Solanum lycopersicum: one gene and its partner. The protein of the gene in region 2 interacts with the protein of the main gene of each other region in a pairwise test. Links are inferred from orthologs where the notes say so. Each region holds a gene or a part of one and is shown on either strand. Other genes may lie near its edges.

Evidence for each region.
Region 1: the proteins of actin-related protein 2/3 complex subunit 2A (region 2) and actin-related protein 2/3 complex subunit 4 interact in binary tests that used the Arabidopsis thaliana proteins (3 or more experiments, as listed by UniProt). The link is inferred for Solanum lycopersicum from reciprocal best matches to the Arabidopsis thaliana genes DIS2 and ARPC4.

What each region holds. Positions count from the first base shown.
Region 1 is NC_090811.1:68,151,780-68,156,382, forward strand, and holds the start of actin-related protein 2/3 complex subunit 4, read left to right. Parts: upstream 1-1,639; 5' UTR 1,640-1,701; coding exon 1,702-1,704; intron 1,705-2,419; coding exon 2,420-2,494; intron 2,495-2,595; coding exon 2,596-2,661; intron 2,662-3,384; coding exon 3,385-3,437; intron 3,438-3,871; coding exon 3,872-3,899; intron 3,900-4,603. Other genes in the region: uncharacterized protein, read left to right, coding at 513-689.
Region 2 is NC_090810.1:58,681,617-58,684,746, forward strand, and holds the end of actin-related protein 2/3 complex subunit 2A, read left to right. Parts: coding exon 1-99; intron 100-173; coding exon 174-265; intron 266-1,054; coding exon 1,055-1,111; intron 1,112-1,904; coding exon 1,905-1,976; intron 1,977-2,057; coding exon 2,058-2,105; 3' UTR 2,106-2,393; downstream 2,394-3,130. UniProt on the Arabidopsis thaliana protein: Functions as actin-binding component of the Arp2/3 complex which is involved in regulation of actin polymerization and together with an activating nucleation-promoting factor (NPF) mediates the formation of branched actin networks.

The DNA of each region.
Region 1 (4,603 bases), on a different chromosome or scaffold from region 2:
TATTTCTGAACTCTGAAATTCTACTGGAGAAACGCTCCTTTAGTCCTTGCTTTTATAGCCTATGTTAGTTGGTTAGCTTCATTCAATTTCTGAAAATAGGGGGTGAGTTAGGTTTATATACTTTTGATTATTTGCTTAGTCAATTATTTTTGCATGCCAAAATGCAGTACGATTTAGGGTCCTTACCTCCAATTCTTTATGCAAAGGAGTGTACCAATTCCCAATTTCTTTTGCTTCCCTACTTGTCAAAAAATGAAAAAAGGGAACATTCTGCCCTCTGTTTCTTTCATTTTATAGTTTCTGAGTGACGGTGGGTGATAAGGTTGTATAATTTTTGCCATCCCATCTAGTTCTCAGTCCCTGGCTGAAGAAGGTGGTCTAGAGCTCATAAAGCTGGTGGCAGTAGCAGCAATAGCCAATATTCAGATGTTTTAAACAATACGTAGAATGTTTAAAACGATTTACAGACTCAGGGAACTATAACACACCATCCTCTTTTGACGTTTTTTCAGGATAGAATTGGCAAGCTGCAAGGAGGCATCGAGTTTCTTGAGCACTGTGGATTTGAGAAAGTTGAAGGAGGTGAATTCTTGTACCTGCCAAGAGAAAAGGTGGACATCGCGGTGCTTAACTCAGCTGGAACTGAGTTGAACAATGCTATTAAAAATCCCTTCTTTGGAGTCCTCTAAATTCTAATCTCAATACATTAGTAAAGATGAATAGTAAAGGATACTTTGTATGTTCCAACTTTTTCCCCTTTGTTGAGTCAAGGTTTACTTGAGTTTTATAAACTGACATTGTTTAAGTTACTTAGATTTGGTGGAATCATGTTCCTTTTTGAACCATTTTTTATCTACAAGTTTAATGGATCAAGTTGATGTTTAAGCTTTTCTTTTTCACTTACCCACCAGTGGTCTACCGCAAACCACCTCTCTATCCTCAAAAGGTAAAGGTAAAGTCTTCGTATATTTTATCTTTTTCAGATCTCACTTACCCATCCCCGATGACAGAAGAAGGACGTAATCCGTGTTAAGCTTAGAAGGGTAATTGCTCTCGTAGCCGCTTTTGGGATCGATTGGAATTTTGGAATTACATCGTGTACGATGTTTTCAATCAAATTAATTCTTAACAAATTAGTACTCGTAATTTGTGAGGGTCGTTCTAGCTTATATAAGAAATCCTTAGGAAAGTGTTTCCTATCTAGATTTTTTTCTAATTTGAAATCCGAGATGTTCGATTAAAGACAAAAAAATTTTCTATCTGAGGGTGTTCATTATAAGCTAGACATCCTTGCATGACCAAGAACAATGGAAAACATACCTGATAAATTAACGCGAACTTAAAAACTCTAAATGGAGAGCCTGACTAGTCTCGAGATAACTTGTTCTCCAACTAAACGAGCAACTAAATGAGCTCTGAGTGTATGTATCTATAAAAAAATTTGTAATCAATTATTTATCATCAAACCGACCTTAGCTCAGTTGGTAGAGCGGAGGACTGTAGTCGGGTCAAATAAAACCCACAGATTAATCCTTAGGTCAACTGGTTCGAATCCGGTAGGTCGGATTTTTTTTTTATAATTTTTTTTGGGCGCATTTTAGCAGTATTTAACTTAACGTGCACCCTGTATTCAGCTAAAACTTCGATCGGATTAATATTGTATTCAATTTCAAAGGGAAAATCAAGAAAAACAATCGTTTAATGGTAAGTATTTGAGTCATTTTGAATTTCGAAAAAAAATAAGGGTATTAAGTGATTTGATTATGTTGAGATGTGTTTGAATTGATTCTTGTTTAGATCCAAGATTTTATATTTTTGTAGTTTCAGAATGTTTATGTGCAGTTTTGAGCTGACCTCACTTGTGAGAGATTGCGCGGGGTATGTTTGTTTGTAGTAGAATATATTAGTGAACTTATATTACTGTTGTGCACTTATTACTATGTATATGGTGAAAGTTTGGGGGGTGGGGGATCTTAAGAATTATGAAATGAATGAGATTTTAGATGGAATGATTTCTGAAAGGGGTATGGTTGGTTAAAAATGTGATCTTTTTTTATGTGCGTGCGTAAGGTTTGTGTATACTTTAGCCTCCCTGAACCCCTTTTCGTGGGACTCTGTGTGGGGTGGGGTGGGGGGTTTACATGGTGTAAAATGCTGAGAAGTTGTAGTTTTGATGAATTTGAAGGAAAATCCATTATGATTGTGTCTGAAATGCATAAGAAACAAGCTTGAGGCAGCAATCTGTGGGTTTGGTTGTGTAAAAGTGTGATCATTTTTTTTGCGTGTGTAAGGTTTGCATACACTTTAACCTTCCCATACCCTACTTTGTGGGACTACTGGGGCCATGTTAGTGTTTTTTCTTATGTGTGTGTTGGGAGGGGTTACATGCTGAGCAATTATTGTTTTGATAAATTTATAGGCAAATCCTTTGCATTGTGACGTGCAAAAGAAACACGCTCCAGGCAGCAATGTTTGTGTTTGGTTGTTTATAAATGTAATTTTATTATGTGTGTGTTTGAGTGGCTAGGGTGGGGTGGGGGGGGGGGGGTACTTACTGCAAAATGCTGAGCAGTTATTGTTTTGATTTATTTCTAGGCAAATCCGTTGCGATTGTATCTGACATGCATAAGAAATACGCTTGAGGCAGCAATGTGTCTTCAGGTATGTAGCATTCTACATGTTAAATATCATTAGAGATTTTTGCAGTACTGTAAAAGAAAACTAAATACTTAGTTGAGTCCTTTTAGTTGTTGTGTTTGACTTGCATTGTCATTGGCCTGAGGTTTGTACACCAAGACATTAACGAAGTTTGGTAGTTTGAGACAATTTAAAGCATAACGCTATGATATTTTGGATGATTCGAGAAGCAAGTTGAGTTCCCATGCATCTAGGTCATTCTGTTTACACTTATTAGTTTTAATTCCGGCAGTCATATATGCTTTGATTAGAGAGTCCATATGCAGCATGTTATCAGCACTTTCGACTCTTCTCCACCCCCCCCCCCCCCCCCCCAACAAAAAGAAACTGTAGTCTGACATCTGCATTCCATTGTAATATTATTATTATGATTTGCTCCATTGCCTTCTCTGCATATTGTTATGCTTCTTTAATCATATGTTATTCGCTCAGCCGACTAGCTTGGAATTGAGGAGTAGTTGTCAGTGTGTGTTATTTCAGCCACCATTTGTTCTATGTTCAGTCAATTAGTTTGTTGCATTTGACATATCTTGATATATCTGAAAAAATAATTTGCTGTTAGTCATGCGGTGAAGTGTTAGCTTTGACTTTTAAGCCCCTTCAACCATTTATTCAGTAAATATGATGTATTGGTTACTCTATACCTGTCTTAACATTCCTTTTCTCATGGTTGTTGGCTGGTTACAGAATTTCCCATGCCAAGAAGTAGAGAGGCATAACAAACCAGAGGTTGAATTAAAGTATGACTTCATGCTGCTGTCTCATTTTACTCGAAGTTAATGATGTCGGTTAGCATTACATAATTTTTCTCTTCTGTAATTCATCAAATGTCTTCACAGCGTGTGGATTCCTATAATCAAGAAGAATTTCATGTGTATTCTTTTTACATATAGTATGACTGGATCCTAAAACATTAACTTTTGACTTGCATACACATATCACTTTCTGCAGCAGAACTTAATATTTTACTAAAATGCTATTGTTGAGTTCTCATCTCTTTACGCAGAGAAACTTATACTGAATGCTTTTTATGGGTTAGAGGAATCGACGTGCAGCATTGATAAAATAAGAAAAATCTTACAACACACGTTGACTCATTGCTCCCTTTTATTTGTTACCTGCAAAGTGTGTAGATCAGAATAATAATGTTTTTCTCATTTGGTATGTTCTACAGGACAAGCCCAGAACTTCTTCTTAATCCTGTAAGAACTGTTTTATATTCTTAACTTTGATCTTTATTTTTGAAGATCTCTGCTCGACAGACTTTCATGTTCCCATAGTTTGCTCATCTGCTCTCAGTACAATCATTGCCAATCTAAATTACATGTTATTATTGACTCGCTTTATATATGCACTGAAGGTTTCTTAAACTAGTGATTGTGTGTTATTCTGTTCATGATATTTATGAAGTGTGTAGAGAGTTCTTGCTTTTAGAATAATATGATTTTTCTCTCACGATTATCTATTTGTCAAAAACCTGCTCACGAGTTGTTAATTTAGCTGCCAGCACATTGTCGATGAGTTGCTTTAATGATGTAACACAGTAACAAGCTGTCCAAATTGGTTGGGGGGCACTAGCTAGCATTAGATTAGGCCAGCTAACTTCGCTATGAGTTTCTGTCCTAGTTGGTTGGTTACTCGAACTAGTCTTATATTTAGGTCATCTAGCGTCAAAAATGATGCAAATTTAGTCCATGATACTTTCCGTTAGAAGAAGTTATATGTTTATTTTTTATCTTGATGGTTAACATGTTCTCCATAACTAGTTAGGAAAAAATAATCAATAATTTAAGGTGCCAAAGAACTTAGTTATCTGTCCTGCTCTTTAGGTGTATAAGGATGAGTTTTCATTTTTGTTTTCTACTAGCGCAAGCGCAATTGTTGGTCGGTATGCTTCTTTATTATA
Region 2 (3,130 bases):
ATAATGCCCCTCCTTGTTTGTGGTCTCCTTCTCCTCCTCAAGAACTGACAGAAGCTTTTACAGAAGCATTATCTGCTAATGCCGGATTTGTTAGTTTTGGTATAACAGATATTTTAACTAGTTTTTACATTGATATTTTGTGATTCCCATGACCAACTTATTTTTTGACACAGTAATTTTTTCTCGCCACGTGGAAGGCAGAAAGCTGGACAGAACTGTCTGGAACCTATCAACCTTTCATGCTTATGTAAATTATCATGTTAAGGTGAGAATTCTAGACCAAAAGTTTCTTATCTATTGACCTAATTATGTCACATTAATGTGCTTCCATACTTGATGCAACACAATTCACGACGTCTTATGTCAGAAGCTCCCTAGTGAATCTTGAATATGTGCTTTGAAAGATTTTTGTAAATGATGAAGCCCTTCAACCTTATAGAAGGCCTTGCTGACTAAAGATAGAAAGCTTCACTCATAATTATATTCCTATATTTTAATAACTACTTTCTTCTATATTTCTGTGACTGTAAAATTTTAGACAAGGATTCTTCATTCTATTATAATTTTTTAAAGCTCTTCATTCTTTGAATCCATGAAATTAAAATTTCCCACACAGTGGATGCTTGGCATTATATATATATGTGACCTTTTATTCTTTTTTTGGAGAATATGAAGACTAAAATGCCACCACACATATATATCCCAATAGCTAAAGCTTTTTGTAATGATTTCTAATTCAGGCTTTTGTAACCAAACCTGTATAGTGTTCCTGGAGATTTAGTACTGGAATCTGTAGATCCTTGAAGCAGTTTATCTATGGAGGTCTTGAGTCTGTTAAAGTCTTGCAACTGCATCCACTGGGTTACTTGTGTATTTACTAACTTGGATTATTTCAAAGAAACGATCTTTCTCAAGTGAAGTGATCAATTTATGGCACATGTTGAGATTTTCATAACCATTACTGCATGCCTCAATAGCTTTTAATATGATAATATTATTTCTGTCAAACTTTATATCCGAAATTTAATCACTTCGATGTTTTTTCTGTAAACAGTGTTCTGAATGTTTCATGCATACTCGGATGAGGCGTCAGGTGGAGTCATTGATACAGGTAATTATCAATCTTTCATGATAAATTTAGAAACAATAGAATAGCAGGTTTATTGCATTCTGTAATACAAATGTATACTTGGCAATGACCACCTATAAAGAATGCTAATTGGGAAGTTTGCTAAATTTTATATCCGAGGTTGCTTTTTTTTTTTTTTTAACCTTTTTGCTGAAAGAATCATGGCAACTGTTTACTTTTAGCAAAAAGTTCACGCTTGTTCTGATGAGGCTGAATGTAGAGGTTTCTTATGGTTCTTCGTGCAATCCTATTAAAATGTCTGAGTTTGTTTCTCTTGGGCATTAGGTGATTTCCGTTTTGTGTTTTTCCATGAAGCATGTTCATCAAAGTCATTCTACGAAAAAGCTAAATGGTTAATGTCCAATCTTGTTCTTGTATGACCGGCACATTCATCTTAGTATCTACATCTCTGCAACTCTCATCTTGTCGATACGATGGAACTCTAGCAGCCCACATTCACTCTCATATAACATTACTGGTTTTATACTATATAATACTTGTTGCTTAAATGGCGTTTATGTGACCTTCCGAACACGATGCTTGATGATCCTAGTGCCTTTTAAGAACTGAAGTCCCACATGTATCTCAGCTTTAATTCAATTTTCCGTTTTGACATCACATTCTGCCTACTCAACTGCATTGTTTCGTCTTACTGCAGTTCCTTGTAACTAAAATGCCCCGGGACTCATTTCTTGAATTATTTTCTTGTTTAGCTGATCCTAGAACTTGTAAGTTTGTTGTTTGCGGGTTCACAACATTCATAACTCTTCTGCAGGCACTTGACCGTGCCAAACCAGATCCCGAGAAGGCCAAGAAAAATTCACCTAACAGATCATTTAAACGAATGGTAAGTCATTTGATTTGTTTGATCTCTACACCAAATCGTTTCTTACTATCTAATCTGTTTTCTTTCTTGACATTTATATAGAGCCTCAAGGATGGCAATAACAGTTTGGGTTCGCGAAGTTGGAAGTAGAAAATCCGAGAATTGAAAAGGTTACTTGGCCTGAAATCATCGTAAACGCAGCTTCTTCTCTAATAAACTCCATTTTTTTTCATCGTGTTCATGTTTATAGTTGTCGTTGTAAATCTCATTGAATTGTCTTCGGCGTTAGATTTGAACTTAGCCATCTTTGCTGAAGCTTCAAGTTTTGGTTAGCAGATTGCATTCGTTTTAGTTCTGCAAAGTAGTGTAAAGATTGCTTTGTAACAACTTGCAATATTCCCATTTTATAAAGTTGCATTTTTTGCTTATGCTCTAAAACTTGTCTCCGGTGTGACCGGCTCGTGGAAGCAACCACTTATGCTTGTATTAAGATAGACTATCTTCATCAGTCATCCCGTTCCTCGGGTGCGGTCCTTCCCTGTGCCCTACGGGAATGTAGGATGCTTTGTGCATCGAGCTTTGTACAAAATAGTCGAGACACACATAAATTTGGTTAAAATCCATTTTCTTACATGGCCAATGGACATTTTTCATTTTCATTTTTATATTTAGGTTAAAATTGATAAATATATAACACGTAAATATTGAAAAGTAGATATTCATACGCTATGTATTAATTAATTTAATGTAAATATCAGGTACGACTATTTTGTTTTCCGACAAAGGAAACAGTGGGACCCACAATCAATGAAGGTTCCCTTCCCTCTATTCTTATCTTCCGTGACTCTCCGGTCTCTGTACTTAAAACCCTCTAACATACGGCGTCGCGGACGGAGTTAGCGACCTAAAGAGTTCATCGAAAAATTATATTTTATATATAAAGTTATTTTTTTCTATTCATAAAAATAGTAACATATACCAGTGGTTATTACCTATTTTATTCGGTCTGTTTAATTTGATTATTACTTAAATTTGTCCGTACTTTAATGATGAAATACTTACTTTATATAACAATCGATCTAATGTGATCGTGTTGTTACATTTATTATCTTTCTCATTATGCTATTACTTGTCGTTTAATAAATTTATTTTATTAAACACAATACAATATGGAA